Linked DNA regions of Ovis aries. The protein of the gene in region 1 binds, or shares a complex with, the protein of each later gene. Links are inferred from orthologs where the notes say so. Each region holds a gene or a part of one and is shown on either strand. Other genes may lie near its edges. The genes, in order: GNAI3, RGS10, RGS2, RGS8, GRM4, TRPC5 and CASR.

Region 1 (3,635 bases):
TGCAGCCTCTGTTAAGAGTGAGGAGGAAGATGAAAGTGAAAGTGAAGTCGCTCAGTCGTGTCCGACTCTTTGCGACCCCGTGAACTGGGGCCCACCAGGCTCCTCCGTCCTTGGGATTCACCAGGCAAGAATACTGGAGTGGGTTGCCATTTCCTTCTCCAGGGGAACTTCCCGACCCAGGGTTCGAACCCAGGCCTCCCGCATTGCAGGCAGACGCTTTAACCTCTGAGCCACCAGGAGGAAGATGAGAGTTGGTTAAGTTTATAAAAGGTAGCCAGATTTTAGAATGGGAGAAAAATTTTAAGACAAGTAAAGGATTGATGTTAATGTTTCAGCTGGGAATCTTCACACACAGCAAAGAGTTGTCAATATCTTATCCATTTTTTGGTAGGGGGTGGGATGAATTTCCAAGCCTGTTTTCCATTGCTGTCATTCGTAAGAATTTTCACATCATGTTTTGGTCATCTGTCTAAATGTTTGCCTTTCCGCATTCCTCATGGGCCAGAGAAGGGGGCAACAGAGGGATAAGATGGTTGGATGGCATCACTGACTCAGTGGACATTAATTTGAGGAGATAGTGGAAGAAAGAGGAGCCTGGCACGCTGTAGTCCATGGAGTTGCAGAGAGTCAGACATGACTGAATGACTGAATGACTGAACAACAGCAGCTGCTTTAATTTACAGAAGTTCTGTACATCTCAGTAAATCTTATTCAACCACCTACCAAGCTATCTTCCTTCCTCTTTTAAAATATTGTTTAAATAATAGTCATTTTTTTCTTAAGCTTTCCTTTGTTATTTAGTCTTCTTTATATACTTGGTTGTTGATATTTTTTGGGTCATGCTTAATGTCACTGAAAATAGCCCCTAATTCTCAGGCAACTGTGTGTTGTCTTTGTTGAGTTTCCCTGGCTCTGTAGCCAATTTCTAAAGCTATTCTAAAAACTCACAAGTAAACAAGATTGTTTCGGAAGCAAGTGATTAAGAGTGTTAATTTCAAATGTTGTTGAAATAGGGTTACTTTGGATAACCCCCTCTTTGAAGAAATAACAGATTTATTGAGATCTTCACGTACCATAAAACGCACCACTTAAAAGTGTGCGATTCAAGCCCCTTCCCATTTGCATCTACTGATTACCTTTGGTTATTTAAACTATTGCTGTAAGGCTCTGAGGCTAAGCTCTGTTAAAACTGGATGATTTTGAAAAGAAGCATGAGTTACCCTTTTGAATTGTTTATTTCAACATGACCCAAGGAACACAAGTTCTCTTAACTTTTTAAGCAATTGTGTTCTTCTAGAAATGCATCCTTCTATTTCCCTAGTTTCTTTTTATACTTTCTAAATTTTTTAGCTAAAAAAGGCAAATAAAAGGGAAAAAGGAAAAAAGCTTTGTTTTCCTGGATCTTTGTGATAAGTTTACTGACAATGAGATTGTGCACTCAAGAAACATGTGATTATAGAAAAACCTAATGATTATAGAAAAATAGGAATCTTTATTTCAATTGGGTTATAGTCCCTCTCTCCATAAGTAAATGGTGATGGCCTGATTTAATTGAGTTCAGGCAGCTGTTATAATTTGAACTAAGAATATTGGGTGTCTGCCTCAGGTTCCAACACATATGAAGAAGCAGCTGCGTACATTCAGTGCCAGTTTGAAGATCTGAATAGAAGAAAAGATACCAAGGAGATCTATACCCACTTCACCTGTGCCACAGACACCAAGAATGTGCAGTTTGTTTTTGATGCTGTAACAGATGTCATCATTAAAAACAACTTAAAGGAATGTGGACTTTATTGAAGAGTGTGGATGTTAATAAAAGGTAAAACTTTGAAAGGTTTAGTTATAGTGCTGTTAGTGATGTCTCTTGACTTTGTAAACTTTTCCTAATTACAGCTGTTTTTCTTTTCTAGTTATTACGGTGTGGAGTGTTGAGACCAGACTTCCTTTGCTGCCTCATTGGGCAGCTGCAAGCATGAACGGGACCAGGGAATGGCAGCAGCATGCAGAATCCTAGCACTCTTTTAGCACAATCTTCTGTATTAGGGAACTCTTAATTGACACAAGATGCTAAAGTCAGACATTGGAATTGGAGCAACTGTAGTATGATTTGATCATCGAGACATGACTTGGATTTCATAGTCTCAAACGTTTAGGGCAGATGTGAAGTTGAGGTGCTGCATTCCAGAACTTCAATATGTAGCTTACTGTTTTTCTTCTTCCCTCTTGACAAACCACCAGTAGTTCATTTTTTCAAGTTTTTTTTTTTCATTAAGGGAAGAATAACTTCACTGAATTTTATTTTTTTGTGAAAGAACCTTTATTAAAACACAATCTTAACTATGCACATGATGTGACCAGATCATCTTGAAAATATTTCTCTTAGTAGGAACACTTTGTTTTTAACTCTAGGTATGGTCAGAATATAATATTTCCATAATAACTTAATTCTTTTCAGTTATTTGGGCTCTAATTATAGGTTTTTTGGTTGAAATTTATGTTACTATCCTGCTCAGAGTACCATTATGGTTTCTAAATGGCAGTTACATTGAAGAAGTCTATAGTAAGATTCAAGCTCTGTCTCTTTTTTTTTTAAGCTTGTGGTTGAAGGTTAACCTAGTTTATGCTTATCACCAAATTACGAGATAAATGCTGATGTAGTATGATAAAGTCAGCTTCTTGGATACAGACACACCCAGGGCAGCTGTCAATTAGAAAAGTATATTGCTAAATTCCAAACAGAACCAGTGACTTTGCTGCTGCATATCTGCTAAATTGATCACTTTGATTCTTGCTTGTTTGTCTCAGTCATAGGGAGTTCTGTAAAAGATGCCCCATGTTTTCCATCTTCCATTGGCCTTTTCTGTTGAGAAACATCTGAAGTGTATTAAAAAGTGCATGCTTTTACTTTGTAAATGTGGTGCCAAATCCCTGTTTGCCATTGTTTTTTTTACTGTAGCAATGTTGATTGTAGTAATCTTTAGTCAGTACCTTGTTTTGCTGAAACTATTGATTTGGGGACTTTTTTCTACTTTGTCGTGTGTACAGATTTTTAATCTGTTATAGTTGACAGCAGTATTAAAATGGTGAGTAAAGAGTCCAGGTTTGTTCCTGTTTGTAATTAGTCCTTTCTGGAAATATTTTCTTCTGCTGTTTTTTGCCCCTGCTGTGTGCTTAGGCCTTTGTCTGAGAATGGGTTTAGGTAGAAGGGTTCTCTGAAGGTCTTAAGTCTTTTGGTGTATAAGTATTGTTGAATCTTGGCCTGACTGAGGTTGTTATGTCATATCTGTATAAGTGATGCACAGTCAAAACCCATTTTCCAGATTTACATTTTGGTTTTGTGAAGAGCTCTTTTCACGTCAGCCTGCAGGTCCTTTTGTGCAGTGTACTGCAAATGGCATTAAATATTGAATGGTCCATTAGGGGAAGGCAGATGAAGAGAATGCAGTTTGAGCATTCCAAATCAGTAATTTGAGTAGTGCCTTTTGGGGTCCAGTCTTTTTGGATTGGATTCTATTTCATCTTTTGATGTGACCTTTCAGTAGTTTTAAAAAAAGGTTGGTGGTCATCAAAGCTGGTTCAGAAAGCAAGCCACAGCAGTTCAGTGCCTTTATTGGTAGGTTTTTTTCTTTTTGCTT
Region 2 (4,214 bases), on another chromosome or scaffold:
GCCCACATTCCCCCTTTCTCACTGCTGGGTGGTAATGACCAAACTTGCAGAGGCTCGTTTGTCCTTTCCTATCCAGAGACGGACGTTAAACCTAAAAATCATAAAGAAATCAGGCTCCTGGAAGCCAGACACTTAACACCAGTCCACGATTTTTAGCTATTGATCTTTCTATCAGTGATCCAACCACATTTCATCAGCCTTAAAATGTGTTACTCTGAAAGAGGTACACTTCACTGGTATTCCTAAAACTGCCCTAGTCTTTCCGGGGTACAATCTGCACATATGCAATAGCACCCTAAAACTATGTGTGATCCATAATTCATTTGTTCTATTTGGAAGACCTCACCCCAAAAGCGACCTGTGCAGGGATGTTCAAAGCAGCTCTATTTATGATAGGAAAAAGGGGGAAAAGGTAACAGCTAACCATTATACTCAGTTATGCCAGGCACTGTACTGGAGACTTCATATATATATATATATATATATATATATATATATATATATACATATATACATATATATAATATTATATTATATATATGCTTTTGTATGTTTGGTTCCACAATTCTATGAAACCCACTGTACAGATGGGAAAATGGACACATAAGTATGCTGGTAAACCAGCTTTCCTAGAATAAAAAGATTTAAAAAGAAAACGTGATTTTTAACATTTGCTGATTTCCATGGTGGAAATGGCCACTAATAGCCAATTTCGAGCTACCTATGGTTTAGCAACCAGGTTCCAAATTTCCCATTTAGCAATGGGCTCTGAGGTCAAGTAACTTGCTCAAGGCAGCTGAATGCTAGGGTCAGGGTAGGAACCAGGGGTGTAAGTAACTTCCGAGTCCAAGCTCTGACCACCACTCCTTCGGCCTGTGAACATCCAACAATAGGGAATGGCTAACTCGAACAGTTCAGACAGTAAAGAATCTGCTTGCAATGCAGGAGACCTGGGTTTGATCCCTGGGTCGGGAAGATCCCTTGGAGAAAAAAAATGACTACCCAGTCCAGCATTCTTGCCTGGAGAATTCTATGCACAGAGAAGCCTGGTGGGCTACAGTCTATGGGGTCGCAAAGTCGGACACAACTGAGTGACTATCACTTTCAAAGCAAACACCCAACAGGGAAATCCTTTGACTCACAGGCAACACAGAAAGGTTTACATGACCCCTAATACTAACACTAATATAAGCAATTTACAGTAACTCTGTGGAGTCCTACTTTGAGTTGTTCTCAATATTAGAGGGAATAATTTGCAAAATATGATGGAAGGGAAAGCAGTTTCAATTCAGCGTTTAAGGAGCGGTATTTTATTGCCATTATGCAGATCCTTGTCTGAACAGAGATAGTGCCCCCAGTTGGAGAAGGAAATGGCAACCCACTCCGATAATTCTTGCCTGGAGAATCCCGTGGACAGAGGAGCCTGGTGGGCTGCTGTCCACGGGATCGCATAGAGTCAGACACAAATGAAGCGACTTAACATGCATGTACGCATTGGAGAAGGAAATGGCAACCCACTCCAGTGTTCTTGCCTGGGGAATCCCAGGGACGGGGGTGCCTGGTGGGCTGCCGTCTCTGGGGTCTCACAGAGTTGGACACGACTGAAGCGACTTAGCAGCAGCAGCAGTGTGCCTAGTAGTGGAGGGGGGACTTGGACTCAGTCGATCTGCTTTCAACTCATCCTCTTAACCACAGTCTCATAAAATAAGACACGAGGTGAAAAAAAGATAGGGGCCAACATGTACAGACTCTCTTGGTACCAGCAGAAGCGACTCTTGGAGTGGGAGGTGGCAGAAAAGCCTCTGAACTCCAGAGTCAGGCTGAGCTGCGTTTGAAAGATTCTCCACCACCTAAGTGTGACTTGGAGCAAGTTACCTAACAGCTCCCTGGTGGCGAGGGCTGAGGACAATGCCTATCTCAGTGGGTTGCCCTAAGGGTGAAGAGAGAATTCACAGAACACGTACTGGGTCCCACTTGGAGCGCTAAAAGGGGCTGAGCTGCAAGGAACAAAAAGGGTGAGATGGTTGGAATCAAGGGATGGTTTCATCTTCACCACGAGCTCTTCGTCCTATCGAATCGCTCCGAACTGTGGTTGGTCCAGAGTGACAGGCTGGTCCAGAGTGACGGCCAAACTGAATCCTTTGTAACGTCTGTTGTTTCCTGGCGCGAGCTGCAGATGCGCCCTTCACCTGGTATTCACCGTCCTTCTCCGCCCTACATTTCGGCTCCTCGGCGCAGAACCGAAGACGCCCAGCAACCCAGGCCAGGCCGCCCAGTCGGATCCCCCGGGTCCTGGGGTTCCTTCCGCGGGCTCCGCGCTGCGCACCAACACCCGCAGCGGAGGCGGAGACCTCCAGAACTCGGTTCTGCTTTCGGAATCTAGAGCCCATACTACCTCCAAAGTCTGGAGGTGTTTTGGATCTCCTTTTTCTCCCAGACCATCACTAAAAAGAAAACGGCTGATGTTCCTCCTTTCAGACAAACTTCCTCCCCAGCGCGCGTCTCGGGACTCAGCGCTCCCGCCGCGGCTGGGACCGCGGGGACGCTGGACAGAGCAGGGAGAAGTGGCGCGTCCTGCCCGGGGCATCGCTGAGCCGCGCCCGACCCCGGGCAGGAGGGAAGGATGCCCGGGGGGTGGGGCAGGCAGCACCGGCCCGGTCGGCTCATCCTGGCCCCTGGGGGCTCCCCAATCCCCAGCCCGCGGAGCCCTGGAAACCGCTTACCTGACGGCGGCCGCTTCCTGCTCAGTCGACTCACAGCGCGGTTAAACATCGCCGCGAGCACCCCGGGGAGGAAGGAGGAGCAGCCGGGCTGCGCGGCGGCTGAGCCGGAGGAAGGCGAGGAGGAGGAGGCCAGAGGAGGAGGAGGAGCTGGCTCAGCACCGCCCCGGAGCGCGCAGCCCCCACCCTGCCGCCCTCCGCCGGGCCAAGCGCCGCGTGGCGCGATCAGTGCGCCCTACCGGCCCGCCCCCGTGGGGCCCCCGTGGTCCCGCCCCGGGGTGCCTGGGCGGGCAGGGCGCACCCGGGTGACTCCCAAACGCCGGGAGTCCAAGAGCCCGGCCAAGAGCCCAAGAAGGCGCGCACTCGCTCGGAAGTGGCCCGCGCTGCCCGAGACTTAGGAGCCTTGCCCTGGCGGTTCGCGCGTCCCGGGGATCCCTCGCCGCCTGGCGGGGTTCTCCAGGGATGCCGCCCGAGCCCCGCCCAGCCCTGCCCGGCTCCCAGCTCCAGCGCCCGTCCCGGCCTCCAGCCGTTTTCCTGCAGCCCCGAGAAACGGGCGCAGATCCTCCGGCGCCCTGCGCCTGGTGATTCCGCGCGCTTTTGCTGGGCGGCAGGTGAGGGTCACCTCCTGGTTCCGAGACCGGAAAGCCGAGATCTCGTGGTTCTGCAAAGCCCAGGTGCAACCCACGGCCTTCGCCCTCTTGCCCTCGGGTTCCAGGATTCCTGCGCTCCCCGGCCTACCCGACACCATGGGAGTTGGGCCCTCCCACGGCCGCGAAAGCCAGCGGGAGCGTCGCCTGGCCCCGGGCCGCGATGTCCGCGGGCGAAGCGAGCCGAGCCCGCGCGGGTGGGCGCCCTCTCCCGGGCCGCGCTGCGCGGGCACCGAAATTTGGGCGCCTCCTGCCCTTGGTCTTGAGGCTCCAAGGGCCGACCTCGGGAGAATTCCGTAGGACCCCCTCCGGTCTCAGCGCTGAGCGATGCCTCTGCCCGTCACGCCGGCTGGCGGGAGACCCTAACTTGGGGCGCCGCTCACGTGGTGCACCTGTCGGCAGGGCCTTAGCGATCAACCCTGGAAATCACTCGGGCCACACTGAGCCCTGCTTCTGATTCCTCCTTTCCCGCCGCCGGTCACCTGCTCTGCGTGGCCAGCTCCACTCAAATCTATCGTCTCATTTCTTCTGCAAAACATCCCGAGAAGGGGTATCATTAGCCTCACTTTCTTGAGGATCTGGTTTACGAGGAATTGTCTTTCTGGCAGTCCTATTTTCCTCCTGTGTATCTGGCTTTGTCTCTAAATTGGTCTTTATTTTTAGCAGTACTAATTGCTATTTTTCTCAACTGCTGCCCAGTCGTCGGTCCCCCCTCCAACCATCCTTTCTCAAGATTTTCACTAGTTGGCACTTTCTTTTATATCTTCTGTTCTCAGCTTCCCATTCCGCTTATTTTTCCTCCCTCCCTCCACCCACCGGTTCGGTCCCAATCCCACCCTGTCTCTGG
Region 3 (4,433 bases), on another chromosome or scaffold:
TTGCACTGCAGAAGACTCTTCAGGGTCTCCCAGCAAAGCGATCAAACCCGTCAATCCTTAAGGAAATGAACCCTCAGTATTCATTGGAAGGACTGATGCTGAAGCTCCAATACTTTGGCCAGCTGATGCCAGGAGCAGACTGACTGGGAAAGACTCTGATGCTGGGAAAGATTGAGGGCAGGAGAAGAGGGTGGCAGAGAATGAGATGGTTAGATGGCATCACAGACTCAAGGGACATGAGTTTGAGCAAACACCAGGAGATGAAGAACAGGGAAGCCTGGCAAGTTGCAGCCCATGCGACTGCAGTCAGAAATGACTTAGGGACAGAACAAAAGCCTTGCTGTTAATCTGCCTACTTAGATGCTTCAGGAAAAACCACCTGAATATTCCACTGTACAATTCTAATAACGGTATTTGAACTCAAGTCATTTTGGAGTGGCAGTTATCTACTTACCCTTACCAATCAAACCACTTAAATCCTGCTACAGCAAGATGATTTCTGACGAATCAAGACATTAAGCTTATTCAAAGAAGCTGTAAACGCCTCCCTCCCTCCACCCCCATCTCTCTTTTTTTGCCAATTAAAGTGTTCTGGCAAATTCTAAGCCAACTAAGAGTGACTCAGGAGGAAATCCTGCATGCTTGCTCTTTTACACTAAAATGATTCTGGTGCACGATAGCTGCGAGCTCGTGGTGTTTCCTTGTTAAGAGCTGTGATTTCTTTTTTTGTTCTGGAAGGAGAAGCAGCCAAGGACTCCTGAGAAATAAGTCTGCAACCCCACGGACCGACCCAGCCACGAACCTGCTGGTAATCAAAACCGCACACCCAGTTAAAGCACTTTCTCCTCTTCCCTCCCTGACCAATGTGCATTCCCCACAGAGCTCCAGGATGCTTGGGCACGCTGCAGAACAGATCACACCACTGCCCCTGGACTCTCACTGTTCCTCCCATTCTGTTTCCTTCCCCAAATTAAAAGGCGTCTCAAAGAACAGGTGAGGGTCAGTTCTCACATCAAGAAAGGAGGCGCGGAGCGAGGGCTTGCGCTCCAAAAACACATCCCCTTTTAAACCTAATTCAAAATAAGGTTACTGCATTCGGCTTCCCAATAAACAACCTTTACCTGCTTGGAATCACGGCTCCTTTGGGGGTCAGGAGCTCTGGAGCGCGGGGGAGGGAATGAGACAGGGAAGAGGCGGGGAGCGAGCGCCCCCGCCGTGCCTGCAGCCAACCTGGCTCCCTGCCCGCCACGGCCCTGCGACCCCACGGCCGGCCGCCACGACTGGGCAAAGGTCGCCTTTGACCGTTCAAAAGGGAATTTTCTCTGACCCCACACGAGGGCGGGCGTCCGGCCCGACTGCGCACGACGCCCGGGAAGCGGACGTCAGCGGGCCCCGGGTTTCCAGACCCTTCGGCGGCGCCCGTGACCGCGCGGCCCGCGGCCGCCGTCGGCCAATCGGTGCCCGCCGGGGGAGGGACCGGCGCCGTGAGCCCCGCCTTCGCCCTGCCTCCAATTATATAAATACGGGTGCCGGCGGTCCGGTCTCCCCAGAGCGGCGTTCCCAGGTGGAGGGAGATAATGCAAAGTGCTATGTTCCTGGCTGTCCAGCACGACTGCGGACCCATGGACAAAGGCGCTGGCACCGGCCCCAAGAACGAGGAGAAGCGAGAGAAGATGAAGCGAACCCTGTGAGTGCGGCTTTCTTCCTCCCTGACTGGCCGCCCCTGCGGACCCAGCTGTCCCGGGCGGCTGCAAACGCGGTACACTCGCGCTGGGCATGGGAACTGGGTAGCCTGCCTGCATCTCTGCAGGAAAAAAAGAAAAAGAAAAAATGTGTGTGTGTGTGTAAAAGGTTAATTTGTGAAGTTACGTTTAAACCTGTGTGGTGTAGGTATTTATTGAAGGACTCGGGTAGAGTTTAGAAACTGCAGAAAATTCTTGATGCAGGGGCGGAGATAGATGCTGGTTGGCTTTTTGTCTCCCTGCATCGAAAATGACTTCGGAGAATCCTGCAGCCACGCGCCCCCGGCCTTCTTGAGAGGCACCGTAAATTCTGATCTGCTTACACGACTGCTGGGATGGAGATATTTTTGCTGATCCTAGATATACTTTTAATTTTTTTTAATTGAACAGCAAGTCTCACCCACTCAAGAGTGTGGAACAAATAATTGTTCTGCATCACCTTCTTAAAATGAGTGCTGAAGTTGGGGGAGGGGGCGGTCAATCTCGCACACACACTTCATTGTGCACAGCTTCTCGGGTGGTCCCAAGCCCCCTGCTCTGAGAGCAGAAGGAAAACGAGCCTGGGCTGGCTCAGGGCAGGTCCACTGTGGGCTTCCTCAAGTGTGAAATGTCTCAGAATTGTAATTAACCGTTGCAGAAAAACTGGCTGCCTTTTGTGGGCCAGAAATAGCATCTGCCTTTGAACTATGCAAACTAAATTCATTAAAATACCCTATAATTGTAGGTCGTCCTATCCTTACTTATAAAACTAATAATTATGTTCAGATGAGTGGATGAAACTAGTGTGTTGAGTACTTAGATGCTGGATTAAAGGAGTAAGACTGACTGGAGGAGTTGTTTTGTCTTATTTGGCTTGTCTATAGCTACTGGGGGCGACTTTATTTGGTAAAAATGCCTTCAGCTGCAATGGCAGTTTCAAGTGTTGCTGCTAAGTGAGTATCTTTTTTTTTTTTCTTTTGTAGATTAAAAGATTGGAAGAGCCGTTTGAGCTACTTCTTGCAAAATTCCTCCTCTCCTGGGAAGCCCAAAACTGGCAAGAAAAGCAAACAGCAAACCTTCATCAAGTAAGTTGAAAATCTTGTGCTTGCCAATATGCACAGCTCACTGCTGAGCTGAAGAGGGAACCTCTGGCTAGCAGGAGCTGATGTGCAGACTTCTTTTGCAGGCCTTCTCCCGAGGAAGCCCAGCTATGGTCAGAAGCATTTGATGAGCTGCTAGCCAGTAAATGTAAGTTAACCTCTTGAATTGGATCCATTTCAAGTATCAGGAGAGTATGGTTTGGTTGTGTCTACACAGCAAGAGCAGCTTGCCCAAGGAGAGTTTGACTTTACAATCCCTGTTCCATGGGGCCTATTTTTCTCCTTTATTTCCCGGTGATTAACCAGGGAAATGCGTGGCTTTTTCACTCTAGGTGGGGAGTGGGGGGAAATAGCCCCAGATTGTAATGGCAGTTGCTGTCTCTTAAGGTTGAGTCAGCTTTTCCATTGCAAACAATGTTTTCAAGCGGCTTCATTCCCAAAGAACTTATGGCTCCCCTATCAGTTGTGTTAACAGCAAAGCTAAGTTTATATTTTTGTAGTAGTGTGCCAACTCACGCATTTTGCTGACTGGCATCTTAGTCTTTAAAGAGCTAAATTTTGACAATTACAGGTTTGAGTAAACTCAAGAAAATTGCTGCCATCTGGCAATAATAAAATATGGGACCAGGGGAGTGGGATTTCTAGGAAAACACATAAGGGAATATTTGAACACTCAATGCAGTTTCTGCATGCTTTCTTCCTTCCCTCCCCCAGATGGTCTTGCTGCATTCAGGGCTTTTTTAAAATCTGAATACTGTGAAGAAAATATTGAATTCTGGCTGGCCTGTGAAGACTTCAAAAAAACCAAGTCACCCCAAAAGCTGTCCTCAAAAGCAAAGAAAATATATACTGACTTCATAGAAAAAGAAGCTCCAAAAGAGGTAAAGGGGGAAAAAGTTCCTTATTTCAGCATATTTTGAACATCCTCAGCACCAAAGTGAAAATAATTTAAAGAGACCTCAAGTTAAAGGGGGGTGGGTGAGTAGGCTGTTTTTCCCCTATTTCTGGCTCTCAGTGAGGTTAATTATATTTCTTCACTGACTTAGCCGGTGACACTGGCCACACATTATAGTTTGGGGGTTTTTTTGTTTGTTTTCAAATACTACATATATTTCAACTTCTGACTCTTAATGTGGAATAAAACTTTGTTGTTTTCTTTCAGATCAACATAGACTTTCAAACCAAAACTCTGATTGCCCAAAACATACAGGAAGCTACCAGTGGCTGCTTCACAACTGCCCAGAAAAGGGTGTACAGCTTGATGGAAAACAACTCTTACCCGCGTTTCTTGGAGTCAGAATTCTACCAGGACTTGTGTAAAAAGCCGCAGATCACCACAGAACCCCATGCCACATGAGATGAAAGCAGGAGCCCAGAAACGGAGGACTTTTCATTTTTTTTCCTAAAAGGGGAAAGGCTGTCACCTGCCAAAAAGACTGACCTTGAATTCAGCCTGGGTGTTCAGGAAACATCACTCAGAACTATTGATTCAGAGCTGGGTAGTGAATCAGGAAGCTGGTCGCCTCGTAGGAGAAGCTGGTACTGGGTCGGCTTCCGTAACTGATGGAGCACAGAGAGAGAGAGTGTGGTCTAAATGTGGTGTGTCTCATGC
Region 4 (4,064 bases), on another chromosome or scaffold:
GAGACCCTCTTCTTTTTAGGACCTTTTATTGAAGGATTCAAAAGCTTTTTGGAAATTCCAAACAGAGAATAAAGGTCCTGATAAAGGTTCTGGTGAGAATGTTGATGCTTCTTGAACAGTGAAAGGTATTCTAATTTTCAAGACAGGAAAAGCAAGGAGCGTTTCTAGTGGCTCTGGAGCTGTAAGTATTTGGACAGAAATGAAATGAGCAAGCATATGGGACGGGAGAGCCTAGGAAAGGATTAGCAGGATAAATATCCTAAGCCATGAAGTCGTGATACACAACAAAACTTATATTTGTATGGCACTGCCAAAACCTAAAAATTGCTTTCACTTCTTTAGCTGATCAGGTTTCTTAAGCTCCTGGAGACTAAGTTTTAGGGAAGTTGGAAGGATTAAACAGCATCATGTAAGGAAAATACCTAGTAAAGTTGCCCAGCACATCTTGATAACCAGCAGCTATCATCATTTTTTAGTTGATTCTCATAAAAACTTTTGGAGGTAAGTTGGGCCCTTGTTATTGTACCCATTTTACAGATGATAAAAACAAAGCTGTACAGGATCCCTGAGTGAAGGGCACAGGGTAATTCAATTAATGACCCTAGGGAGACTCGAACCCAGGACCCCCAGGGCTTTTTCCACTCTATACAACATTGCATCACATTCAGTACTGCTGCTACTGCTGACTCATCCCTGAGACCCACATTTGGAGGATTTTTTAAATGGTAATATGATGGATCTTGTGCAGCCAACCATCTACCTCTTACTCAATCCCTTGGGAGTCCCTGGCATTTGTGAAATGACTCTTGTGGTTGAAGCTCACTGATCCATAGGAGAAAGACCTTGGCTTCAAGCGAAAGTCTAATTCAAATGGACAAAGAACATGAGAAAGTTTTAAGATTCCTTTGTGCATAAAGCACTGTGTGAGAAAAAATTTTAATGCCAAAATAACAGGGTCTCCAGGAGCAGCTTACCTCGGCCAGGCCACGGTGGACTAGGGGTCACCCAACACTCTCCAATCCCCATTCACCCCTCTCCCATCAATCTTCTACTAGGACACCTATTTTAAGGACTGAGCAAAGAGCAAATGGTTAATAAAAACAGTTTGCCAGACTGACTGAGTGCTCACAGGGATACCATTCCCAAACTAAAAGTAAAAGCCATCATCAGCATAATAACACATTGCCAGTTAGAGCTTTGAACTTTCCCCCAAGCACGTAGATACTCTCTCGATAACGGTAATCTCACTCCCCCACTTTCCAGCACCTCCTGCATCTTCCCCAAAACACCTGGAGTTTTCCAAAACTGTGGGAACAAATAATCCAAAAATAACCCAAGTTGCAGGAAGGGGTAGGCTTTCCTTCCTATTTCATTAGTTTGAAAGCATCCCAAGATAAACACCTATAAGGACCTTCAGCCAGGTTTTAAGTGTGGAGTGAAACAATAGGCTGAGATGGAATGACTCTAGCACAGAGAAAAGCCGCTCTCCTCCACGCCCCCCTAGACAGCTCTGAGAAGCTGATGCCAAGAAAACACCTCCTATAGACGTTTACTCTGTCCTCAACTCACTGCTTAGAAATTGGTGACCTGCCCTCTCCTAAAAAAAACAATTGCAGCTACGTGTGGTGATGGAAGTTAACTGGACTTAACTGCAGTGATCTTTGCATAATACATGCATATATCAGATTATTACACTGTAACCTGAAACCAAAACGATGTTAGATGTCACTTGTATCAGTTAAAAAAAAAAAAAGACCATCCCAGAAAGTCTCATTTTAAGACTATGTCTAAGAAAACAATCCGGAATGTGAACAAAACTCTATGATATTCTTCCAACATTATATGCAATAATAAAAATGTGGGAAAATATTTGAAACTAGAAGTTGGTGACCTGCCAGCGGATGTGTTAATTAACTCGATGGTGGGAGTCCTTTCAGAATGCATACATGTATCAAATCATCCCATTGGGCACTTTAAACATATTACAATGTTATCTGTCACTACATCTCAATAAAGCTGAAAACGCAAAAAAATCAGTGACCTCCGATGTACTTTGATCTCCCTTGAACCCACTGTGATCGTGAGTTCTCCTGCATCAGAATGTGTCACCAGCATTAGTCACCAGCAGCACAGGGGACCTGCACGCTGTCTGGAAACAGAACAGATGCTGTGGGCAGCCAGACTGCTGTGCCGGCGATCCGCCGAACACAACAGCAAAGACATGAATGAAACGAACAGAAACAGTGTCACGGTCCAGGCAGCAATCTACCATAATCACAGAGCCCCCGAAGGGATCTGCGGGGAGATACTGCGTCCCCTTGGACCAGAAAGGAGGTTTCAGGGGAGGAGAAAGAACAAAAACAGGATATTGGCAGCTTAGCACCCACTGACCAGGAAGAATGGGCATGTTCCTGCACCCTTGCTCCTGGCAAGAGTGACTGGCTTAACCCAGTCTGTCTAAGGAGCTCTGTTAGAAAATGGGATGGTAGGGTTATGACAGGCAGACAGCGCCTTTTCTGCACTGGAGTGCCCTGCACTTCCCAGCAAGACTCATGGCTCAGGATGGCCGGCTGGGGAGGGCCAGTTCGGGGACCCTCTCGCCCGGCTGGAACAGCAGCTCTCTCTTACCTGTCTGGTGAAGGGCAGTGCAGCTGGGAAGGTTTGGCTGGCGCCGGTACCAGCTGGGCATGGCTCAGTGAAGCCCAGAGTGACCGAGTCATCCACTTCCTGGTACATGGGAGAGGGCTGCCGAGGGGCGGCTCACCTCACCTCCGCGAGTTGGGGGGGTACCCCTAGCAGGGCGGCTGTAACATGCGGCTCCTGCTGGCTCCTCACCCGCCTGACGGGCTTTGCATCTCATGAACCGGGAAGGCGGCAAGCGCCAGGGGAAGGGGGTGGGGAAGCGGAGGGAGGGGAGGGGGCACTCTGACAGATGATGCGCGCTGCCACGCAGAGTCGGGGGAGGACCGCAGACTCGAGCAGAATGGCACTGCCTATGAGGCTCTCCTGCTGACAGCGAGCTCACTGGCAGCTGCCTCCGAGGGGCCAGTGCGCTGCAGAAGGCAGGGAGAAGCAGAGCCCCCAGGGGTCTGAGGGTGGAAGTGGAGGCAGAGGTGGTCCCCCAGGGTTGCACAGCAGGGAAGGGGGTGAAACAGGGTAACTGGCCTCAGGAGAGAGAGGAGAACCTGCCTCGCCTCAAAAACAGACCGGGATGGATGCAAAAGACAAAGGCTCAGCCTCAAAGAGCTCTCTCCTGCCATAGCCAACCAGCAAGGATACTCTGGCTTTGGGATGGCTGGGCAAGGTAGAGGAAGCCCAGTTCTAACTTTCTTAATGAGGATTAAAAATCAGCCAGGGAAGAGTGTAATGCATGAAACGTTTCGTGTTATTTGCCACTCCACACCACAGGCCAGCCTGGGTGCCCCCCGGTCAGCTGCCCAACCTGTGATGGGGGTATGGTGGCAAGAACAAGGACCAAGAGAGAGGGCTAGGAGGGGACAGAGAGAACATGTCATGTGATGCTTCTGTCTGTAAAGTTCCATTTGGATGATCAGGAGAAAAACTTTGTGGACAGCTTGGGCCAGTGCCTGGAGCAGCTTCTGAGGGTCAGGGATAAATAACCGTTGGCATCGGATTCTAGAGTCTATGAGACCTGCTGCCCCCACTTGGGGGCACCAGGTTCACCACATAGGCCCTGGAGCTGACAGTCATCGGCTCTGTTTACAAGCAGAGCCAGAGAAAGAGGCTGACGGGGAACAAATAAATAAACAGCAAAGCCAGAAAAGACCAGAGGAAGTGCAGCTGGGGAGACTCGATGAGCACAGCTAATGAACGGAGAGAGATCTCAGATGAGGACCTTCTCCGGAGGGCAGGGAGGGGGATGCAGGGGCCAAGAACTGCGACAGGTTTCCAGGGACCCGTCCTCCCACTACAAGCTAGTTCCTTTCCTTCAGGCCGGCGTCCACACGCCCTGACCAGCGCCGCCCCAGATGACCCCCAGGGGACAGCTGCTCTCGTTAGGACAGTGTCACTGTGATCCATCATGATCACCAACCGGTTCACTG
Region 5 (3,635 bases), on another chromosome or scaffold:
ATGGTGATGACTGAAATGCCCCCGCAGGGCCAGGATGGCCTCCGGACTGCATCTTACTCCAGCCCATCCATTTTACAGATGTTGAAACTGAGGACTCCCTGGGGGACAAGCGTGGCCTCCAGCAGGGCAGCAGTGGAACTGCAGGCTGGTCCGGGACTCCTGTTCTTTCTTGTTGGAATTGCCTAGAACCGGCCTTGGCAGCCAGCACCCCACAGCACCCCTCACTCCCCAGAGCTACCTGGGAGAGGCCTCAGATAACTCTCATGGAGGTGTGAGTGCTCTTGAGGGGTCCGCACAGGTGTAGCTGCCCCTCGCCTGTATTTTGACAGATCTTCAGCCCTCCCCAGAGCGCTGACCCCCAGCCCTAGGTCACTGGGTCCTGGCTTCCTGCCGGCCTCCCCAGGCGCTCTCGGTGTGACAGGTGCTGGATCTGAGCCCTCACCCGCCTTGAGTGGGGAGTCACCTGGTCCCTCTGGGAGACTGCTTCACCTGCAGAAGGCTGCTGAGGAGAATTACGAGCCCTCCTCTTGGCCTCTGAGGAGTTAATGGAGGGGGCAGCATTTGGATGAGGGGCGAGATGTGAGGTGAGCGTCCAGAAGGCGCTTGCTGGAGAAGCCCAGGAGCCAAGGCTGGATCCTGGGGGGCGGTCTCCCATGCTTCCCTGCCCTTTCCAGAGCCCTGGGAGCCTCTGGTGGGGATGGTGGCTCTGAGCCCCAACTTGGTCTTCACGGAGGGACCACGTCTCCAGAGAAGCCTCCCAACCCAAACACAGGCTCTTTCACACGGGTGGGGAGACCGAGGTACAGATCAGGCAAGCGGCTGCTGGTCTTCATTTGACGGATGCACAGGGAAGGGGGCCTTGAGGTCGCCCCCCACCCCGGACCCCGCCCTGACTCAGCTTTCAGCCTTTCTCCCCGAGGCCTCCCAAGTCGAGGGGAGGGAAGTTGCTGGCACCGAGGGAAGGCTGGGCCCTGGGAAGGAAGCCCTGGGGAAATTAGCCCAGATTAGCAATGAGAATGAGGAAGAGCTGGTGTTCTCTCCTCTCCCCTCGCAGATAAATATTTAATCACAACAACAATAATAATGACGGTCATCGTAATAATGTGCACTAGCTCAGGCCAGAACCTGAGCCTGCTCTTAGAGGGAGGAAGTGGTGAAGAGAAATGGAGAGGTATAAAGACCCCTGGGGTGGGCGGGGGGCCCAGCAAGAGAAAAAGAGCCTCCGCTGCGTTGACCCTCTGGTGGGGTAGCAGGGCGCCTGGGGCAGAAATGGAGGGTCCACCCCCCCCAGCTCCACCAGCCCCAGCTTCTCTTGGCCTTCAGACTAAGCGGCTCTCAGCCTGACTTCTTCTGAGGCCCTGCTTTCTTTCCTCATTTCCGAGTCCTCAAGGAGCCTGTGTGTCTGGTTCCAGAACTGGGGGCCGGGCATTGGGTTTCAGGCAGTGTTCTGCTGTTCGCCCCCTGTGTAACTTGGGCCAAGTGCTCTCCTGCTTCGGGCCTCAGTGTTCCCATCTCTGAAATGGGTTGTGTCCAGCGGGGCCGGTTTTTGCGTGCTTGCTCCTTCCTGTGGGTTCCTGTTGAGAGGAGACCCCTCTTCTTCCTAGGTCTCCGGGGGTCCCCTGGGGGTATATTCTCTGAGGCCTCTGGTCTGGCGGCAGTGGGCACCAGGAACCTTCAGACATGACCCAGTTTCTGCCTTAAGTTCTCTCATCTGCACCAAAGTCGAGCGGCAGTGGAGAGGAAGCCAAGTTCAGGAGGTCTGTGGTGTCTTTGCCCACAACCTCCAGCATCTCCTGCTCCCAGGCTCCTGATGAAAGATGCGAATAGCTAATGTCTTCTCTGGCTTCTCTGATTCTCTCTCTCTCTTTCTCAGGTTGGTAAGAGGAGAGCTCTGGAGCTGTTTTCTCCCTGATGCCAAGATCTGCCCAGCTAGGAGCACTCTCCACCTTTCACGGTCATCCACTGAGAAGAGGCCTGCAGGAAGTGGGGACCAAGATCAGAGCTTTGCTGCACCCCAGCTACTCCCTGCTGTCCGAGTGCAGCCTGTCCCACAACTGAGCGTCGCCGGGGGCCGAGGTACACCAGCACGGTTCTGCCCGTTGGCCGCCCTCAGCCACCCTGCTGCTGAAGCTGCCCTGGAGAGACCAGTGGGGGCCGCTGTGCCCATGCTCGTCCAGGCCGTGGGGCCTGGGGCCCGCCAAGGCTAGGAGCGAGGCCTGCCATTCATGGGTCTCTAGGGATTTCCGAGATGCCTGGGAAGAGGGGCTGGGGCTGGTGGTGGGCCCAGCTGCCCCTTTGCCTGCTCCTCAGCCTTTCCGGGCCCTGGGTGCCCTCCTCCCTGGGGAAGCCCAAAGGCCACCCTCACATGAATTCCATCCGCATAGACGGGGACATCACTCTGGGAGGCCTGTTCCCAGTGCACGGCCGGGGCTCGGAGGGCAAGGCCTGTGGAGAACTCAAGAAGGAGAAGGGCATCCACCGGCTGGAGGCCATGCTGTTTGCTCTGGACCGCATCAACAATGACCCGGACCTGCTGCCCAACATCACGCTGGGCGCCCGCATTCTGGACACCTGCTCCAGGGACACCCATGCCCTGGAGCAGTCGCTGACCTTTGTGCAGGCGCTCATCGAGAAGGACGGCACGGAGGTCCGCTGTGGCAGTGGTGGCCCGCCCATCATCACCAAACCTGAGCGCGTGGTGGGCGTCATTGGTGCTTCCGGGAGTTCCGTCTCCATCATGGTGGCCAACATCCTTCGCCTCTTCAAGGTTAGTGCCTGCCCAGCTCCTTTCTCCTCTTCTCCTCCTGAATCCCAGGGAGAGAGTGTGTTGCTCCCCAATACCCACATTGGTGTGTGAGAATCTGGGGCTGACTTGCCTGTGGTCTGAGAGAAGGTCCCAGCTCAGTGGAGCTGGCCGTGGTGCTGAAACAGCACCTGCTGCAGGCAGCCTTTTGATCAGCTCTGCTCCTCTGCGGGGAATTCTGAACCAGGAGGGAAAGGAAGTGCTGCTGAACAACAGGAGGGAGGAGGAGACAGGCGGACAGAGGTATAAAAAAAGCCCCAGACAGATGGATGGACAGAAATATAGGTAGATAGAAAGGTACACAGGTTAAAAGATAGACATAGACTGGAAGTGTGAATGTTGGAGATTGCCAGGGAGAAAAAGCAAGACTTTTGTTTTGACATTGTTTTCCAATAATTGCAATTCCCAAGAAAGATCTGTTTTTTTCCTCTGGGTAGTTGAGAAAGCCCCGTGTGGCCCTCCCGCTCCACCTCAGGATTATAGTTAGAAAATGTGTCCTGGTTTTTTGCAGGAGGCATTAGCTCTCAGCCCACAGTGACTGGAGCTGCGGACAAGAAAGGCCTGGAGGAACGGGTGGTCCCATCTCTGGTGCCCTGGGTCCCCAACGGAGCTTCCCCGGCTCATTCCTTTCCTTCTGCCCCTCTTCCTTGCACACCTTTCTCCCTTCTGGAGTCCCTCCCTGCCCCCTCTCTGCCGCCCCCCTTCCTCTCTTCCAGGGGCAGGAGCTGCTGATTTGCAATTCAATTGGAGCCAAGTGCTTCGCTAAGCTGCTAAAACAACTGAAAGCTACCGGGTAGAGAGAAAAACATTACAAGCATTTTACCAATAATTA
Region 6 (4,098 bases), on another chromosome or scaffold:
CCGGGATGACCCGTGGCTGCCCGCGCAGCCCCGCCACCGCCTGCCGGCTCAGAGCCCAGGTTGAGCGGGGTAGGGGTTGGGGGTCACAGTCCAAAGTAGGGGCACTCAGGACAAGGGGGCAAAGAAAGACTCTGCCAGCCAGGCGTTCTGAGGTGCTCCAGTCCAGTCCCCTCTACCGAAAACCACCACGCTCAGCCACCCAGACTCTGCCACCACCCAGGGGAGGGGAGGCCCGGGGAAGAGCAAACGAAGGAAACAGAAAATTCCGTACCGAGGGGGGAGAGATGAGACGGTGGGACAGGGCAGCGCCGGGGCTGCCTTGGGGTTTCGGCTGCGGCTTCCTTCCACCCCTGGCTACCGAGTTGCAGAGAAGCAGGAGCTGCTGCCCCTGCAGGCTGCCCCATCCTCCCTCTCCCTCCTTCCCTCCCCCCTGCCCGCTTCCCCCGCCCCGCCCCGCCCGCCCCTGCCTTGAGCTCAGACTGTGTGAGGCTCCAGGTCCGGACTGGGGGAGGTGAGAGGTGCTTTCACCAACAGCGGCAGTCTCCCCCACCCCACCCCACACCCCCGCCCCCAATCGCGACGGGTTCTTCCAGCTTGCAGCCACCCAAAGGAGAGGAAAAAGAAAAGGAGCAGAGGAAAGCCAGGAGCAGATAGAAGCGAAAAGGAAGAGCTCAGGGTTGGACATTTTTGGAGCTGGGGTGGGGAGGAGAACAGGAGCGCGCCTCCTCGATTTTACCTCCCCACCCCTCTTTGCTTCTCTCTCTCCCCCTTCGTTGTATAGCATTTTTCAGAAGCGGCAGCAGAAGGGGACAGAAACCTCTAGTCTAGAAAGATTCGGAAGGGTGACCGGGGCTCCCGCCAGCCAGTACCTAGCAGCTGGCGCAGGAGTATGCGTTTGTGCATGTCAGAGTGCGAATGCTGGTCTCTGTCTCTTCCTATGTCTTTTCTGTCTCCTTCATACTCCCGCGTCAGCTATCTCTGTCAGTTTCCCGTGTCAGTTTCTTCCCGTGCTCTCACTGTGCAGTACGCTGCGTGAAGGGGGTGCGTGTGTTTGAAGGCACCCAGGTTGGGTCAGCGAGCCGGGAGAAGCTAGCGGGGACAAGGCAGGGGCACGAGTAGAGCAAAGAGTTTCGGGGTGCTGACGAAGGCGAAAGGTGAGCAGAGATGGCCAGCCACTGGGAAGTTTGGGAATGACTGAAAAGCGAAGGGAGAAACCACGCTAGGAGCGGGCACTTGCGCGCCTCGCCACACCCCGCCCCTTTCCCTGTGCTCATCCGCCCACCCGCCAGGCAGCCTCGAGGCCAGGCTGGGCTGTCCCAGGCGGCTGCTGTTGGCGCGCCGAGGGAGAACCGGTAAGGTGGCCGCACCGAGCTCCTTGGCTTCCAGACGCCAGACGACGGGGATCTGAACAAACCACTTGGTCTGGGGTAAGTCAACAGGCAGCCCAGAGCCTTATGGCTTTGCTGCCGGAGCGCTGCCAAAAGGCAGCGAGGTGCGGGATTGAATGAAGGTGCAGGGATGCTGAGGGCTGGGAGGTGCTAGCTGGCTGTGGGCTGGGGTGGTGGGGGGCAGAGCGAAGCCAGCAACAGATTGTTTTCGGACACAGGGAGAAAGATATGGTGGGACTCTAGAGGTGTTAGGACAAGGTGGCTCTTGACAGTGACCAAAAACGTTGTGTTTATTTGGGATGTTCCTCTAAATCAGCTTGTCTCTACCCCGGACAGTGATCTGAGATCAGTATCGACCCGAGAGACAGGAATGGAATAAAGACACTGGCCCTTTTGCCAAAAGCCACTTTAAGATGTGGAAAGCCAGGGGTGAGCTCATGAGGGCTCAGGAATCAGAGCCCCCATTCACCTTCTTTCTGTTTTGTATCCATCAAACTTACTTACGAAATGGCCAGATTCATTTTCCTGGCTCCTTAAAGGAATCAGGAAATACAAATGGGGAGACATCAGTCAGATCTCTGCTCAAAGTAGACACCCCTCCCCCCAAACACACACTGACTTGGACAAACAGTCATGATGGTCCCCCTCTTCAACACACACATAGGTACTGAGCTGTATTCACAGATCCTGATCTTTCTCCATGGTCTCTAAGAATGAAACTGGGAGAAGGGCTTTCTCCCCTTTGCCAACCTGGGGTCTTCTGGCCATAATCAGGTATGTGGTTGGTGATGGCTACCAAGGTTATTACTCCCTTGTGAAAAGCCTGGTGCTAGGAAACCAGTTGGGAAGACAGGATTTCTGAACTTTACCTGAGTTTATCATATGAGTAGAAGAGACAGGCTAATCAATAATGCACCCCTTAAAGACTGTGTGTGTCAGCCCTGGCTTCAAATGAGAAATATTTACTCCACTGACATGGCACTCAGATCCACTTGTCTATTTCTATACATTTATTTTCATGGCATTTAGCAGATATGTAAAGTTTACATCTTAGAATTCGTCCTTGTCTATTGTCAGTCTCAGGGTTTTGTGTTTTTTGGTTTTTTTTTTGGTGTTTTACAGATGTTGGTGTTTGGGATTATATCATGTTTCTTTTCCTATAGACTCTTAAAAAGCTGTGATATAAATGATGTTAAATGGTACCTTTCACCCAGTCTTTAACATTTGCTTATTCTAAATCAAAGACATGGAAATACATTCACACAGTACCAAGTTGGTCTCAAAGCAAATGTTTAGCCTAGGATAAAGAAAACCCACAAGGTTTCTCTATTTGCAAGGTTGAAGGAAAACCTGAATGCCACATGAAATCTGTTTGGTTCCTGGAAGATGCTGTTTTCACGAAGTTCTGGCATAGATAGATAGATAGATAGATAGAGTGTGTGTGGCGCTGCTTTCATAAAGTTGTAATACATATGGTATGTGTGTATTTTTTCAAGGACTCAGATCAACCCCATACAATCTGGGCTGTATGCTGCTGTAGCCGAGGGGGGAGTATTTGAATTTGTGCTTCCAAAGCATCCAGGCTCTTCTGTTAAACTGTCTATTTATCATTATGTTACTGGAATACAATGAATTACCCCTTTCCAACTCAGCAAATGAGAGAAACAGATTTTGCATTAAGTGGAACTGTTTATGTTGCGTCAGGCAATTTGTTCTAATGCTCACTGCTGAGAAAGAGAACAGAACAAGGATTATTCAAGTAGGATCTGAAAAGGTGCCCATTCTGTTACTTTTTTAGGCCATCATAAGCAAATATCTTCATAGGTTAAAATTACACTTTCCCATAAATAGCAAAGACCAGGTTGCAGACAGGTAGGAAAGAATCAGCAGCTTCCTGGTAGGGAAAGAATTGAAAGTGTCAACAGGAATGACACCGAAGGTGTGGGTCTCTCTTGGTTGAAAATCTGGTTGCTGCAGTGGATCCTGATCCATGGTTCCTCAGGGCATAAGGAGGTGTAAAGCGTGGGGATCCAGAACCAGGCAGTCTTCAGCTGTATTGACAGACATTCCCCTAGCTATAGTGTATACACCAATATAGAGACCTGGACCAGATAACATTTGCCATTTCTACCAGGATTGAGAACTATATTCCTACAATTCTATTCTTTCTAGAATTAACAACCAGAACGAGAATGACACACAGAACCACAGTGCTTAGAGAAGGCCAGGCCAGAAAATGACAGATGCAGTGGGGATGAAGAGGAAAAGGATAGGACAGAACCCAAAGATGTTTTGAAACACGGAAAGAAAACCATCCAGATGTTTGCTTTCTTTTGCTTTGGCAGGGGATGGGGTTAGTCCAAAACACTGCTTAGGAAGTGAAGCACCCTAACATTGCCTAGCCTATGGTTTACCTTGTAAACACTGTAAAACAGAATTACATAGAACCTGAGAACGGGAGCCCCGGAGTAAATTTACACTTTTACCGTCTCATTCCACTCATTAGCATATTAAATTCCAATCTATGAGCCATTCAGGTGCTTAATTATTGAATGGATAATTTCAAACATGTCATTCTATTGCCCTCCAGTCTGCTTCCAAATATTTTAAGTTGTCTTGACCATGGCTCCATCACTGAAACAGAGGGACAAAAACATTTCTGTCTGCTTTACTTCTGCCAAAGCTTCTTGTTTTCAGCTAAGTACACAAA
Region 7 (3,635 bases), about 100 Mb from region 1:
GTAGACATTGGTGGGGTCTCAGAAATCCCCAGTGGTCATAATACAGATAATTAAAAGATCTTTGGTGCCAAAGTAAAGCCAGAGAAAGGAAAATAGAACAGCAAACTGTATCAACACTGGGTGTGGCATCCTCCAAGCCTGCTGCTCCTGATTCCTGCCCTCATTGCCCCATCTAAGGCAGCATGGGTACCTGGGGGATGTAGAAGAGCCCCAGCAGGTTGGCCACTGCTGTGGAGATGCCTGAGCCAGTAGCTCCCACCACTGCGATGGTAGAGGGGATGTGCTCTGAGCAGTTGCAGAACTCATCAAGGTTCAAAGAGTCGATTTTATTCTGCGCCACAAAACTCAGGGTGGCCTCCAAGGCTTTAGAGACGGTGTTACAAGTGTCGAATATCCTGTATCCCAGGGTCATGTTGGGAAGAAGGGCTGGACTGCTGTTTATTTCCTCTATGGCAAATATCATAGCTTGTAACCAGCGAAATCCTCGGAAATTATACCTGGAAGAAAGAAGAAATGGAAGAAAGCAAGAGGCTTTCTGGTCAACTTTTTTAGAGTACAAACCGGGCAAAGCTGGGTTTGAACCTGGCTCTGTAACTCTAATTTCATGACATTGCCTTTTCTGAGACTCAAAGTCCTCTCTGTAAAACAGGGATAACACCTACCTCAGAGGGAGGCTGTGAATATGAGATAACGACACAAAATTCTCAGTGTGGTGCCTCACACAAAGTTAGAGATCAATAATAACAAGGATTGTGGTAATAGAATGAATCACTTTTTATGCATCATCCAGTAAAGAATCTGAAGTACCTGATATGAAGTATTTCAATAACAGTACTACAGAGATTTAAAAAAAAGGATCAGGGAAAATATAAATAGGTTAGGATTTTAACTCATAGGAACCTAAAACTAGTTTCAGATTTGCAGTCACAAATTTGAACTATGACATTTCTGGAGGCTGAAGGGGAAAGAGAAATGAGTGATCTCATCTTCATAAACAAACAAGCAAACAAACAAATACTATGCGTAGGAAGCTGTTCACAAACAGTGGTCACTTCTGGGTGGTAGAATGATGAGTTTTAACATTGTGTGCTTTTTCTGGTCTCTTTCATACTTTGTATTTTTAAAAATGAGCATGCACTGCTTTTCAAAGAACATTATTTTAAATAAAAATCAGGCAAATGAACAAAGAGAAACAGGGTCTGTGACATAGCTTTTGCCCTCCCAGGACACAGCACATAGTGAGAACTTGGTAAGTGTTCTAGGTCTGTATCAGCGCCCAGAGAAGAAAACCTAACAATTTTGCAGGTTCTCTCTTTGTATTGTGGGTTTCATGACTTGAACTCAGGGGCAGGGGGAAAGAAATATAAGTTGTTATACTTCACTGTATCAGTTAGCTTCCCAAAGTTCCTGGTCTAACTTTTAATGTGACATTTTCTCTTAGTAATATTTGTTCATATATCCTTCATTTGTTTATTTTTAAACCTGGAAAGTTATGAAGACATATTATAGAATTTTTCATTACACAAAACATCTATACTGCTCAACTGATTTTCCTATCTTTGTGTGTGAGTGTGTGTGTGTCTGTGCACATGTGTGCTCTGTTGCTCAGTAATGTGTGATTCTTTGCTGCCCCATGGACCTCTGTCCATGGAATTTTCCAGGCAAGAATACTGGTGTGGGTTGCCATTTCCTTCTCCAATCTTTCTTTAATACAATTAATATATACGTATTACTTCAGGGCAAGCTCTTATGTGATCTCAGCTATGTATGTGGTGCCTGCACAACTCTGTCCTGTAGGGTACAACAGAGAGGATATATGTCCTCATGGATTATGTGAAGGTTATAAGCAGCATCGTCAAAACTCTGCACTTAGCTTTTCTGCACTCATTAAAAAAATGTGAGAATGTTATCTAATTTGTGAACCCTCCTTAGAACATGAGCAGAAAACCAGTTTTGCTGGAACAATTATATTTTTCGTTTTCATTTTCTATCTATCAGAAAGACAAAGGAGAAGTGCTGGATCCCATCTGGAAGTTGTAAGTTTCAAGAGAAAGTGCTCTTCTCTCTCAGAAGACGGGTCAAGGCTTGAGGTGTAGTAACGGTCTCTGATGTTCAGATTAAGGGTGGTGATATACAGCCTACTGTCCTCTGGAGAAGTCAGACACTATTTGAAGGAATTGTGCCCAGTGTTAGATGCCAGAAGAGGAGTCATGATAAATTAGGGAACATTAGACACAGGGCAACCAGAGTGGTGAGGGTCTGAAAATCATGCCATGAAATAATTATTTAGAAAACCGAGACTGGTAGGTCTGGAAAAGAAATGATTCAAGAGGGCATGTTAGCTGTCTTCTAGTGGCTGCAGATAGAGTCCATGCAGGAGTTAGATGGATTCTGTGTCAGCAGGAGGATTTCAGCTTTCTATAAAACTTTCTGATAGGAGTGGTTCCAAATGCTATGGGCTGCATTTTGAAGATGCCTGGGTCATGCCAGTCACTAAAGCTTCTTTCAACTTTAAAATCCTTAAAAAAATCAGAGTGAGGCAGCCAACACTCAATTATGACCACTGGGGGCACTTAAGGTCAATGGGAGGTTTTACTACTCAGGTTTGCAAAAACCTACAATAAATTTCTTTCTAGGTACTTAATCTTCCATTAAGCAACACTGCCTCCAGGTGAACAGTGATGACTCAGTTACCCAGTGACTGAGCACAGGCTCCAACAGCCAATGGGTTTTTCTATTTAATATCTTTGACATTTGATTTTTGGAAAAATTTCTTTTAAAAAAATGAGGGGAGGGGATAATAAGCATCAGCATGATGACTAATCACCATTTTTGAAAAGAGAACCAACTTTGAAAAAATTATTTTGGGTTTGGTACAGCTTTTCTCTAACCACCCAGAGGAGAAGCAACTTCTGACTTTACCTGATACACTCCACGGACTCCGGCCTCGACTTTAGATCCTGATCTTTCGCTGCAACCCCAAAATGAATAGGAAAGAGCCCCCCGAGGATAATGTCCCCTTTCTTCTGGGCTCGCTGGTCAGGCCCATAGGCGGAAGTGCACCAGGTAGAAAAAGCCAAGAGGATCCAACAGCAGCTATAAAGTGCCATAGTTCTGCTTTCTCTCCAGGGAGAGGGACACGAGTGCCGGTGGTCTGGGGCCCCCTGAGGACTTTTCCCCTTGGTGCGACTCACTCCCTGCAGTGGGGGCACATGTCTACAGAATTAATAGAATGGAACCGTGGTGTTTGAATTTCCATTTCTGCCTTCTCCATTGCAGACTAGTGAGGTGGGTGGCTCTTGAGTCTTCAGAAGTCACATCATGCAGAGACCGTGCGTAGTACTTTCTAAAAAAGAGAGAGGAAAAATGAATTCAACTAAGCCTCAACCCCATGTTAGGATGACTGCAACAGAAATGGCTCAGTATTTCCATTTAGAGAGGCAGGTGGGGAGGGCATGGCTTAGAGGCTCATGTTTATGGCAATTCTTGTAAGATACAGAAAACTTCGCTTGCCCATATTCAGAGCAGAACCATGTTTAAAGAGGCCACTGATAAACTAAAGCTCCACTGATGTTGCCACTGAATTTTAATCTATTCATTCTTCCCTATGAATAATGCTTAGAACTGGCCTAGTG

The links.
Region 2: the proteins of GNAI3 (region 1) and RGS10 are in contact, whole or in part, in a crystal structure (PDB 2IHB), measured with the Homo sapiens proteins. The link is inferred for Ovis aries from reciprocal best matches to the Homo sapiens genes GNAI3 and RGS10. Residues at the interface, in NP_006487.1 of Homo sapiens: Val71, Val72, Ser75, Glu115, Val179, Lys180, Thr181, Thr182, Gly183, Ile184, Val185, Gln204, Ser206, Glu207, Lys209, Lys210, His213, Ala235, Glu236; in NP_001005339.1 of Homo sapiens: Glu62, Phe63, Ser64, Glu66, Asn67, Ala102, Ser103, Ser104, Gln105, Val106, Asn107, Val108, Glu109, Gly110, Leu137, Lys139, Tyr140, Asp141, Ser142, Arg145.
Region 3: the proteins of GNAI3 (region 1) and RGS2 are in contact, whole or in part, in a crystal structure (PDB 2V4Z), measured with the Homo sapiens proteins. The link is inferred for Ovis aries from reciprocal best matches to the Homo sapiens genes GNAI3 and RGS2. Residues at the interface, in NP_006487.1 of Homo sapiens: Val179, Lys180, Thr181, Thr182, Gly183, Ile184, Val185, Gln204, Ser206, Glu207, Lys209, Lys210, His213, Ala235, Glu236, Asp237, Glu238; in NP_002914.1 of Homo sapiens: Glu104, Phe105, Glu108, Asn109, Glu143, Ala144, Pro145, Glu147, Ile148, Asn149, Asp151, Phe152, Leu180, Asn183, Ser185, Arg188.
Region 4: the proteins of GNAI3 (region 1) and RGS8 are in contact, whole or in part, in a crystal structure (PDB 2ODE), measured with the Homo sapiens proteins. The link is inferred for Ovis aries from reciprocal best matches to the Homo sapiens genes GNAI3 and RGS8. Residues at the interface, in NP_006487.1 of Homo sapiens: Glu65, Gln68, Ser75, Val179, Lys180, Thr181, Thr182, Gly183, Ile184, Val185, Gln204, Ser206, Glu207, Lys209, Lys210, His213, Ala235, Glu236, Asp237, Glu238; in NP_001095920.1 of Homo sapiens: Thr76, Glu77, Phe78, Ser79, Glu81, Asn82, Ala117, Pro118, Glu120, Val121, Asn122, Ile123, Asp124, Phe125, Gln126, Arg128, Leu153, Lys156, Asp157, Ser158, Arg161, Arg164.
Region 5: the proteins of GNAI3 (region 1) and GRM4 are in contact, whole or in part, in a cryo-EM structure (PDB 8JD6), measured with the Homo sapiens proteins. The link is inferred for Ovis aries from reciprocal best matches to the Homo sapiens genes GNAI3 and GRM4. Residues at the interface, in NP_006487.1 of Homo sapiens: Ala31, Lys32, Val34, Lys192, Asp193, Leu194, Thr219, Phe336, Thr340, Ile343, Ile344, Asn347, Leu348, Cys351, Gly352, Leu353, Tyr354; in NP_000832.1 of Homo sapiens: Pro616, Lys619, Ala620, Gly622, Arg623, Glu624, Arg676, Ile677, Ile680, Phe681, Gln683, Gly684, Lys685, Arg686, Ser687, Val688, Ser689, Ala690, Ile694, Ser695, Pro696, Phe781.
Region 6: the proteins of GNAI3 (region 1) and TRPC5 are in contact, whole or in part, in a cryo-EM structure (PDB 8GVX), measured with the Homo sapiens proteins. The link is inferred for Ovis aries from reciprocal best matches to the Homo sapiens genes GNAI3 and TRPC5. Residues at the interface, in NP_006487.1 of Homo sapiens: Arg205, Arg208, Lys209, Trp211, Ile212, His213, Phe215, Glu216, Glu245, Leu249, Ser252, Asn256, Lys257, Trp258, Arg312; in NP_036603.1 of Homo sapiens: Thr27, Glu32, Glu33, Glu56, Ile57, Tyr58, Tyr59, Asn60, Lys125, Pro128, Thr129, Leu130, Met131.
Region 7: the proteins of GNAI3 (region 1) and CASR are in contact, whole or in part, in a cryo-EM structure (PDB 8SZH), measured with the Homo sapiens proteins. The link is inferred for Ovis aries from reciprocal best matches to the Homo sapiens genes GNAI3 and CASR. Residues at the interface, in NP_006487.1 of Homo sapiens: Ala31, Lys32, Gln304, Glu308, Lys314, Asp315, Thr316, Lys317, Glu318, Ile319, Tyr320, Thr321, Phe334, Asp337, Ala338, Thr340, Asp341, Ile343, Ile344, Lys345, Asn347, Leu348, Glu350, Cys351, Gly352, Leu353, Tyr354; in NP_000379.3 of Homo sapiens: Lys644, Ala645, Asn647, Arg701, Val702, Val705, Phe706, Ala708, Lys709, Pro711, Thr712, Arg716, Trp719, Phe801, Ile869, Val872, Arg873, Thr876, Ala877, Ala880, Phe881, Lys882, Val883, Ala884, Ala885, Arg886.

What each region holds. Positions count from the first base shown.
Region 1 is NC_056054.1:86,826,830-86,830,464, forward strand, and holds part of GNAI3 (guanine nucleotide-binding protein G(i) subunit alpha-3), read left to right. Parts: intron 1-1,606; coding exon 1,607-1,797; 3' UTR 1,798-1,819; intron 1,820-1,910; 3' UTR 1,911-3,635. UniProt on the Homo sapiens protein: Heterotrimeric guanine nucleotide-binding proteins (G proteins) function as transducers downstream of G protein-coupled receptors (GPCRs) in numerous signaling cascades.
Region 2 is NC_056075.1:39,197,924-39,202,137, forward strand, and holds the start of RGS10 (regulator of G-protein signaling 10), read right to left. Parts: upstream 2,852-4,214; 5' UTR 2,773-2,851; coding exon of another isoform or gene 2,724-2,772; intron 1-2,723. UniProt on the Homo sapiens protein: Regulates G protein-coupled receptor signaling cascades, including signaling downstream of the muscarinic acetylcholine receptor CHRM2.
Region 3 is NC_056065.1:11,623,164-11,627,596, reverse strand, and holds the start of RGS2 (regulator of G-protein signaling 2), read left to right. Parts: upstream 1-1,548; 5' UTR 1,549-1,577; coding exon 1,578-1,687; intron 1,688-2,704; coding exon 2,705-2,806; intron 2,807-2,907; coding exon 2,908-2,969; intron 2,970-3,535; coding exon 3,536-3,702; intron 3,703-3,983; coding exon 3,984-4,178; 3' UTR 4,179-4,433. UniProt on the Homo sapiens protein: Regulates G protein-coupled receptor signaling cascades. Inhibits signal transduction by increasing the GTPase activity of G protein alpha subunits, thereby driving them into their inactive GDP-bound form.
Region 4 is NC_056065.1:63,188,984-63,193,047, forward strand, and holds the start of RGS8 (regulator of G-protein signaling 8), read right to left. Parts: upstream 2,854-4,064; 5' UTR 2,629-2,853; intron 1-2,628. UniProt on the Homo sapiens protein: Regulates G protein-coupled receptor signaling cascades, including signaling via muscarinic acetylcholine receptor CHRM2 and dopamine receptor DRD2.
Region 5 is NC_056073.1:8,389,680-8,393,314, reverse strand, and holds part of GRM4 (metabotropic glutamate receptor 4), read left to right. Parts: intron 1-1,873; 5' UTR 1,874-2,248; coding exon 2,249-2,767; intron 2,768-3,635.
Region 6 is NC_056080.1:122,884,163-122,888,260, forward strand, and holds the start of TRPC5 (short transient receptor potential channel 5), read left to right. Parts: upstream 1-1,297; 5' UTR 1,298-1,427; intron 1,428-4,098. UniProt on the Homo sapiens protein: Forms a receptor-activated non-selective calcium permeant cation channel. Mediates calcium-dependent phosphatidylserine externalization and apoptosis in neurons via its association with PLSCR1.
Region 7 is NC_056054.1:187,548,600-187,552,234, reverse strand, and holds part of CASR (extracellular calcium-sensing receptor), read right to left. Parts: intron 3,347-3,635; 5' UTR 3,111-3,346; coding exon 2,923-3,110; intron 498-2,922; coding exon 191-497; intron 1-190. UniProt on the Homo sapiens protein: G-protein-coupled receptor that senses changes in the extracellular concentration of calcium ions and plays a key role in maintaining calcium homeostasis.